Neurospora crassa OR74A: one gene and its partner. The protein of the gene in region 1 purifies or fractionates together with the protein of each later gene. This does not show direct contact. Links are inferred from orthologs where the notes say so. Each region holds a gene or a part of one and is shown on either strand. Other genes may lie near its edges.

What was found.
Region 2: the proteins of arp-4 (region 1) and stk-18 purify together in Saccharomyces cerevisiae (affinity purification with mass spectrometry; 4 studies listed by BioGRID, with this or other methods). This does not show direct contact. The link is inferred for Neurospora crassa OR74A from reciprocal best matches to the Saccharomyces cerevisiae genes ARP4 and TRA1.

What each region holds. Positions count from the first base shown.
Region 1 is NC_026501.1:2,713,335-2,717,869, reverse strand, and holds the start of arp-4 (actin), read left to right. Parts: upstream 1-1,538; 5' UTR 1,539-1,707; coding exon 1,708-1,765; intron 1,766-1,846; coding exon 1,847-3,198; 3' UTR 3,199-3,656; coding exon of another isoform or gene 3,657-4,535. Other genes in the region: NCU16367 (hypothetical protein), read left to right, coding at 83-1,057; NCU02554 (golgi complex component), read right to left, coding at 3,657-4,535. UniProt on the Saccharomyces cerevisiae protein: Chromatin interaction component of the NuA4 histone acetyltransferase complex which is involved in transcriptional activation of selected genes principally by acetylation of nucleosomal histone H4 and H2A. The NuA4 complex is also involved in DNA repair.
Region 2 is NC_026505.1:3,832,756-3,837,043, forward strand, and holds the start of stk-18 (histone acetylase complex subunit Paf400), read right to left. Parts: upstream 2,860-4,288; 5' UTR 2,617-2,859; intron 2,159-2,616; 5' UTR 2,066-2,158; coding exon 2,014-2,065; intron 1,942-2,013; coding exon 1-1,941. Other genes in the region: NCU01380 (hypothetical protein), read right to left, coding at 3,603-4,288. UniProt on the Saccharomyces cerevisiae protein: Essential scaffold subunit of the transcription coactivator SAGA complex. SAGA acts as a general cofactor required for essentially all RNA polymerase II transcription.

The DNA of each region.
Region 1 (4,535 bases):
TCCAGTTATCGTTGCGCCAGGTCTTGAACAATTCACAGAGCCTCCGCTCTGAATCATAACCCAGCAAACGAATGTCACGAGAATGCCCATAATATCGGAGGAAGAAGAGGAGGATGGCACGATGCTGTCCCACCCTTCAGAAGAAGACAACCACGATGATGGCTCGATATCCGGAGACGAGGATTCTTACGACGAGGATGACATCTCGGACGACGACGGCGACGACGAGCACCTCGCGCCCCCACCGCCCGTCTCGCAACATACCTTCGCCCCTCCCTTCTACGGTCGCCCACCGACCCCTCTCCCACCCTCCCCCTCTTTAACCTCCCTGCTGCGCCCCTCGCGTCCCACTACCCCGGACGCCTCCGACGACGAGACAGTAGCCAACGGCGGCGGTGGGGGTCCAGAGGGCAGCAACGAGCCCCTCCCGCGCGCCAGCCCCCGCGTACCCACGTACGAGTACTACGGCTTCGTCCTCTACCTCTTCAGCAGCCTGTCGTTTTTGATCTACCTACTGTGGGCCTACCTGCCTTCACCGTTCCTGCATGCGTTGGGCATCTACTACTACCCCAACCGGTGGTGGTCGCTGGCCATTCCGAGTTTCCTGACAATGACGCTGGTGTACATCTACGTGGCGCTGGCGGCTTACAATACCGAGTACCTCACACTGCCGTTGGGATCGATTGAGACGATTGTGGATGAGGCGGCGCAGGTGGCGGTGGTGGATGGGAAGGGCCAAATCATTAGGCATGATAAGAAATGTGGCATCAAGGAGGAGAAGAGACAGTATGGGCATGGCTATGGACATGGGAGGCATGGGTCGACGGATAGGGAGGTGCTCTTACCTGGGGGAGGATTGAATTGGAGGGAGGTCTGGAATGAAGGGACGGATGCGGTGATGGATGTGCCACTGGCGGGAGTTTGTGAGGTTTTGTATGGAGAGGGGAGGGAGAAAGGGGTGGAGAGTGAGGAGGATGAGGAGGACTATGAAGGAAAGGGGATGTTGCATAGTCCTGGGAATGGACTGGATGGCTCGAGAGTTGGTCGATGGAGTTAACACAGGTTATGAAGGTCCTGAGACAGGATAGACACCTGATCTCTGCTGTATTGTTGTTTTGTCCATTGTGAAATATGATACCCATTTGTTCTTTTTGGGGGTGGCATAATGCTCTGGGTGAATCCGTTGTCGGTATCGTATACAGCTGAGAGTTCTACTTCCCATGGATGTCGTAACTTTGACTTCTAGGACTTCTAGCGAGTTCGTGGGCTCTGGATCAGCAACGACAGGCCAGCGACAATCTTTGAGGAGTTTAACCAAAGCTAACTGCTCATGTGCGTCTTACTTCTCTTCAAGCTTAAAAGACCTATCAACAAGTTAACAGAGCTCTTGACAGGTTCGTTGGATTGCTATTTCCATTTTCTGTCCCTGATGCCCTATTACCGTAGAGGTACGTACCGCGCCCCACTTTTATGTAGCTGGAGGAGAGCCTGTCCGGCCTTTTACTGGTATTCACGCGCGCGCGCCCCTCGTCTTTGAAGCTCCGTTGTCAAATTCCATTTGATTTCCAGTTCATCGAACTTCAACGGAACGCGACGGGACCGAGCTATTAGACGCGCAGCGCTGTTTGGAGATCCCCGCTCACACCACTTCTTGCCCTCCGATAATACACCTCAGCGATTTTCCATTATACAGCGTCGGTGCCTAACATGTCCCACCAACAACCTCTCTCGTCGTCGGTCCAGCCGACTGACATCTATGGCGGAGGTAAGCCTAGTCCAAACGCCTCTGACCAGCGACATTGCCCAAGCTTCAAGGCTTGCAATTGACGGCTGATTATTTCCTTAGATGAGGTATCCGCGCTTGTTCTCGATCCGGGCTACTGCAACACTCGCGCCGGCTATGCTGGCGAGGAAATGCCCAAGCAAGTTCTCCCTTCTTTTTACGGCCACATCAATGGGCGTGACGTATTCGGCGACGAGTATATCGTGCCAAAACCGGGCTTCGAAGTGCGCAACTACATGAACCGCGACAGCGTTGTCGAAGATTGGGATGCTGCCACCAGGATGTGGGAACATGTTCTCGTCAAGCGTTTGCAGCCCGAGCGATCAACACCTCCCAGCAAAAAGGGTATCAACATTAGTGACGATGGCGATGTGCCCATGGAAGACGATGGAAACAACAACGAGGATGCTACGGACGCGCTGGAGAAGCCACTGGCCGAGAACCCTCTTCTTATGACCGAAGCGCCGTGGAACTCGCCCAAGGCGCGCGAGAAGGCCATCGAAATCAGCATGGAGACTTGGGGCGTGCCCGCATTCTGGCTTAGCAAGACACCTGTGCTCGCAGCATTTGCGGCCGGAAAGGCCACGGCTCTGGTAATAGACGTGGGCGGTGCCAACACGAGTGTCACGGCCATCCACGACGGCATGGTCCTCAAGCGATCGATTCAAAGGTCTCCGGTGGGCGGTGTTTGGCTGAGCAGCCAGATCTGCAAGATGTGGGACGGTAGTGAGCCCAAGGTCGACGTTGTGCCGCGGTTCATGGTCGAGAGTAAGAAGCCCGTGGAGGCCGGTGCGCCTGCCGAAGCCAACCTGCGAAAGTTTAACTTCGACATCCACCCGTCCTTCCGCGCTTACGAGGAAGAGCGTGTTCTCACCGAGTTCAAGGAGTCTGTTGTCGAGGTGTGGCGTGGTCCCCAGCGGTTCACGACCCCCGGAAACGAAGATGCTGTCCGTACACAACCCGGCCGGGTCTTCGAGATGCCCGACGGCAGCAATCAGATGTGGCGTGAGCAGCGCTTCAAGGTGTCGGAGGGCATGTGGGACGAGACGGCTGCCTATAACAGCACTGACGAGGAAGGACGTGTTACTAAGGCTCAGACGATCCCGGCTCTCATCAAGGCGGCCCTCGAGGGTGTTGATGTTGATCTCCGCCCCAACATCCTCGGCAACGTTGTTGTCACGGGTAGTACAAGCTTGTTGAACGGTTTCAACGACCGTCTCAACCACGAGCTCGCGCAAATGTACCCCGGTGTGAAGATCAAGATCCATGCGGCGGGTTTGACGACCGAGAGACGCTTCGGTGCTTGGATCGGAGGAAGCATTCTCGCCAGTCTCGGAACCTTCCACCAAATGTGGATTTCGCGAAAGGAATATGATGAGAACGGCGCGGGCATTGTCGAGAAGCGCTGCAAGTAGGATTTCACTTTGTCAATTGCAGAAAAAGAAAGTTGTCGAGGCATGAAGTGGAAAACCCTCCCACGCCGCGCTATGGAAATGGCGGGAGGCTACAAAACATCGGATTCCAAGTCAGGCCACAATGGTTGATGCCTAAAGTGCTCACACATTCATGGAGTTTGTGTGGGGTGGAGTGTGGTGGTCATATAAGATGGGCATGATATTTTCTACGTCGCTAATTATCAGGCAGGTGTATGTTATGGTCGCACGATATGGCGCGGAGGCGTTCCGGAGAAATGGATTTTCAATGCTTTCAGCTTATGAAAGATACACGCCAACCATTGCCTGTATTGCCAGTTTTGACTTTAATCACGGCTAGATCCCAGAGCTTCAACTGTCTCCAAGTAGTTCATTCACCGTAAAGCTTCTACGTACAAAGTGTAATTTCTTCTAGACAATCCATAATCCTCTCATCAGTCCTACCTGTCAATGGGGCAGCTATACTCTCTCTTCGTTCCAAAACTAGCTCCTTTGGAAACCGCGCCCCCATGTTTCATCTCAAGAGCGTCCAGGCATGCTTGATGGTAGATGTGTCTGCAGGCCAGCACAACCAGAGGGCTAAGCTTCTGTTCCCGGTTTGCCACTATTGGCCCTTGCACGCCTTCATGTCCAGAAGTGTTTGCTTGCTGGTTCGGGTCGTTCATTGACTCCCCTTGCTGCTTCAATTGCGGGCTCACAGCCTTTCCCTTGCCCTTCCCCTTTCCATCTCCATTTGCATTTCCATTATACTTCTCCCCACCCTGGGGCCCGTCCGTTGCCGGCCACGCATGATCCTTGCCCTTCCCCCGTTCAGTAGTAGCACTCGCCGCCTTGTTTTTGCTCATGGTGAGTTGCTTCCTCGCCTGGCGTTGACTCTCCTCAGCAGCCTGGCGATCTTCCCACGCTTCGTAGACATTACCCGCCACACCAGGACCCCAAACTCGCCGGCCGCAGGCCTCGCAGGTGGAGCCTTTAGGACGCCAACCTCGCTGGCGGAGTTGGACGGCTTGGCTTACACTCACAAAAAGACTGCGTTCCAAAAGCCGGTTTGAGAGGCTAAGGATGGATTCTTCGTATGCGTATGCGGCGAAGATACTGGAGAGAACTGAACGGAGATCTGCAAGGTTAGGCGACGACGCCGCGGCGCGAGTGAGGAACGCACGAAGAATACGGAGGAAGGATAGATTGGCGTTTATTGCTGGAGGTTGTATATCACCCGTGTCTGCTGCAGATCGAGAGGTACGGGTTGATGTGGATGAGAGGAGGGCTGTAAAGGTGTCTTGCACGAGCGATCGTGCCAAGGTGACAAGCTTTTCTGT
Region 2 (4,288 bases), on another chromosome or scaffold:
ATCGTGGGATCTCTTGCTGAAAGACCTCGTGAAAGGTCGCAGGGTCTACAACATGGAAAACCGTAGCGAAGGTCTCAAGGAGATCTTTTTCCTCCTTTGTGAGGGAAACCATGAAGAAGTTTGCCATGTATTCGACTGTGGAAGTAAAGGGTGACTCGGCTGCAGGCTTTTCGCTATCGTAATACCGGAACACGTAGCAACCCTCACGGAAAAGCTTGACGATAACCTCAACCTCCTCAGCAGTGAAGCCGTAAGCAACATCAACCCAGTGTGCGGGTGCATTGGCCAGATCTGGCACGGTAGTCGGATTGCAGCTCTTCAACTGATAGAAAGTGTTCTTCAAGCCGGTCATGAGGTTCTTGAACAGAAACTTGTTGTCAACGACCGGATCGGCAGCACGGTCCCGAGGGTTAGAGGTTTTGATGGGCATTGCGGAGAAGATGTCAATTTCGTCCCACTGCGGGGGGTGCTCCTTGTCAGCCAAATACGTCTCGGGCGTGTTGTCGGCAGCTTGCTGGGCGTACAGCTTTGAAAGTTTGACCGCATTTGCGTACTGCTTGTTCATGGCAGCAAACTTGTCGGCAATGGCATTGAGAATCATCATTAGATAATGCCGTGCATCGACCTTGTTCGGCAAGCGGGCAATACATTCCGCCATATTGAGTAGAAGTTTTGCGCTCATGGTTTGAAAACTGGTGCCGGGGAAGTTGTCTTGTAGGTTTCGCGTATACACCTCGACTGTCTTGCGAATCTGATCAGGAGTAAGACTGTCCCTTACGTGGTGAATAAGGTCGGCCAACATGCTGTACGCCAACGGTCTCATGGTCTCGTATACTGTCAAACCGTCGCCTATCAGAGTGCGCTCATCCAGCAGCTCGTCGATCTTGGGCAAGAAGATTTTCCGGAAGTTAAAGTTGATAATGTGGCGAATAGCGACGAGCAGCTCCTTCCGCGCGCCTGACTTCTCTCGCGGACAGTCCTTCAAAAGCCTCACTATGATCTCTGGCAACACCATGAGAAAATCCGACAACTGATTGGAGTATGATCTTAGAAGGTAAGCCAAGAAACTCATGGTCTTCACCTGGGCGGTAATGAACTCCCCATATGCCACCCGATTCTTGATATTGGGGCTGACGCCGGTATGGATGGTCCCTCTAGCTGCAGCGTCTTGGTGAGCTTTTTCCTGCGCTTTTGCCTGGCAAAGCAGTACCGACTTGATGAGGGGAACGAAAAGTTTGACATTGGCTGTCACACTGTTGCGATAGACCTGGAAGATAGACACAACAATAATGGGACACTCGGACAGCACCCTGAAGGATTGCATGCCCTTCAGCAAGGGCCGACCAGATTGTTGTCCAGCATCTGCGCTGAAGTCGGCGGCGCCAGGGGCGACAGGAGAGCCTGGTCTCGGGGATTGTTGGTGTGGCATGAAGCTCGTTTGGGTGCTACCGGGGGTTGAAGGGGCGCCTGGGGGGCCGACCACCGACGTGGATGTATCGTCAAGCTGTTCCTTTACCACCAATGCCATCTGTTCGAATAGCTCCTGTATCAGGTTCAGGAAGGGCTGGACTTTGGAACCCAAGACTTTGTGTTGGTGGCGCATGATTTCGGATATGATCTTGACGCAGAGAACCGCGTTGTCTTCATTGTCTTCTCGCACAAGACCCATGAGCAGGTCTACAACTTCTTCGGCGAAGGGTTCGAAGGGCTCGGGCGACGTGTTCGAGGTAGGGAGGCGATGAAGAATCTCGAGGATGCAATTTCGCAGCTTCTGCATGTTGACTTGGTCCATCGTCTTGCTCTGAAACACTGGTGGTTGTCGCAAAATCATGATGAAGGGAGGTATCACGCGCTTGAGGAACGGAGAGTATGCTGGACCGGTCACATAGTGGTCGAGGCTGTCGCGCAAGTTGATCGCAGCTTCGACCTTAAGCCGAAGCTCTGTAAGGAGGCACTCGGTGTCAGCACCGACCCACGAAGCATCAGAAGGATGGGAAGGGTAAGTAAACGTACCAATTTCTGGAGTGCACAGCTTCCTGATGACATCGTCAATTAGGTTCGCCATGGCTGGCGACGTTCACCTCGGGCAGTAGTAGAAAAGCTGTCGGTAAAGCTCTATTGGCATGGAGGAAGGGGAGAAAGGATAGCTATGTTCAGCCTATGCAAGTTAGTTACGATGAGCGCCAGGTCGCATGTCAGACCGGGTCGACAAGGCTGAGGTGACGGGACGGGCGGGAGGTATAACCAAGCATCATGGTGTGTCGGCGGCAGACTGTCGCAAAAGACGGGAAGGGGGTATGCTCGATCCACTCAGGCATACAAAGGCCAGGTAGGTACCTGTACGGAACGGGCCACCAGCAGGTGCAGATGAGCTGTTGAAAGGCAGGCAGGAGATAGATGCAGGTTCCGTAAGGTCGGGCAGTAAACACCGGCATGAAGCTACTATTGATGATCGAGGGTCCCGGTAGATGTCGGTACCTCTAGGTAGGTAGGTAGGTAGGTAGAGGGGTAACGATGCGGTCGGTATGGGGGAAGGCTCGATCCATCAGGCTGGAGATGGAGCGAGTGGAAACATGGCCTCGTCGCTCGAGAGAAGTAACTGAAATCAAGACTCACTTATGACGCCATAGCAGAAGGAAATCGTCGTTATTATCATCCAAGTGCGGAGGATGTGGGTATGGCAAATGAATAGTTATCGTAGGTAGCGCAAAATGGCAGTGAGAGTTTGGAATAAAACAAAAAGTAGTTGATGGGGTATCAAGTGAATTGCATCTCAAGCGGAAAAATGCGCCGCTGTCAGAAGGTTGCGACAGTTGCTCCTCCAGTGGAAAGTGCAACCTGGGGCGGCAGAGCGGCGCGGTCGCAAATCGAAAAATCCCAGGGAACGCGAAGCTGGGGCGTCCGGTCGCCAAATCCAACGGCGCTAGGCATCCGTTTGAATATTGTTCCGAAGTTTACAACTTTCTGATTGGTCACCCGTGAAACTTGAGCTCTCGGCAGGCAAGCCGGTTCCTTGTATAAGCGGCTGATGTGCTGTCGATCTGATCTTATCGAGTGAGCTTATCTTATCACTTACACGAAATGCCAAGACTGATCCACTGCCGTTTACGATCGACGCTTTTTCAGGGCCACCATCTGCGCGATGTTCGAGCAAAAAGGAGACATAACAACGACACATGGGACGCGTTGCACTCTTCATTTAGTAGCTTTGGAGATCCTATAGCACGCTCATGAGTTATTGACCCTTTGCGTTTGCTGGAAGTCCGGTTCAAGTGTTCAAGACCTATCACATTATTGTTCCCACACGAACTTGATTTCTTTTTCTTCAGATCTACATATGTGGTCACATAAAGCTCAGGGTGAATATTATGGGTATGTCCAAATTCTGTTTATTCTAGTGTTATAGAGAATGTACATGGTAATACTACAAGCTGTTTGTGTCAAGAAAAGAAAGGCTTTTAAACAAAATGCGCCGCCGGGTATTGCTAATGTGTTGCTTTATCCAATGCAAGAGCCCCCAAAAAAGATCCCAAAGATGTGTGTAATGAACGAAGAGAAAGAAAGTGTTGTTTATGTTTGAATGAGTGTTGGAGTTTGACGCTTTAACCCCTGAAACGAACGGCAAGGCGCCTCATCTTCTTGCCAGCAGCCTTGATGTTGAGAGAAGTAGATTGGCCGACATCGCAAACGGTGCCAGCAGCAAGTGGCATGACGGGCGTCCAGACGCCGGCAGCGCACTGCTGGTATGACTTTCCATCAACGCAGTTCCACATGCCATCAGTGCTGCAAGCAGATCCAGCACCGGAGCTGCCCGAGCCACCGGAGCCGGAGCCACCAGAGCCAGAGCCAGAGCCAGAGCCAGAGCCAGAGCCAGAGCCAGAACCAGAACCAGAGCCAGACCCAGAGCCAGACCCACCACCGGAAGAGCCGCCGCCGGTTTGAGCAGGAGGAGCAGGAGCAGAAGTGGTGGGAGCATCAGGAACCGGGGCTGTGATGAAGATTCCACCTCCACCTCCACCTCCACCAGGAGCATTAGTGGGAGGAGCAGCCGGAGCAGTGGTGGATGGTGAAGGAGACGATCCAGAGCCACCGTTGGAACCACCGTTGGAGCCACCGCCGGAACCACCACCGGAACCACCACCGGAACCGCCGCCAGAAACAGCATTGCACTCAGGAGAAAGTCCACCCTCAAAGTCTGAAGCAAAGGTGTCGACCGACTTGCCAGGGTTGGGGTACCTGTAGTCCTTGCTTTCACGTGTTGTGCACTTGTTGATGGCAGGGATGTTAG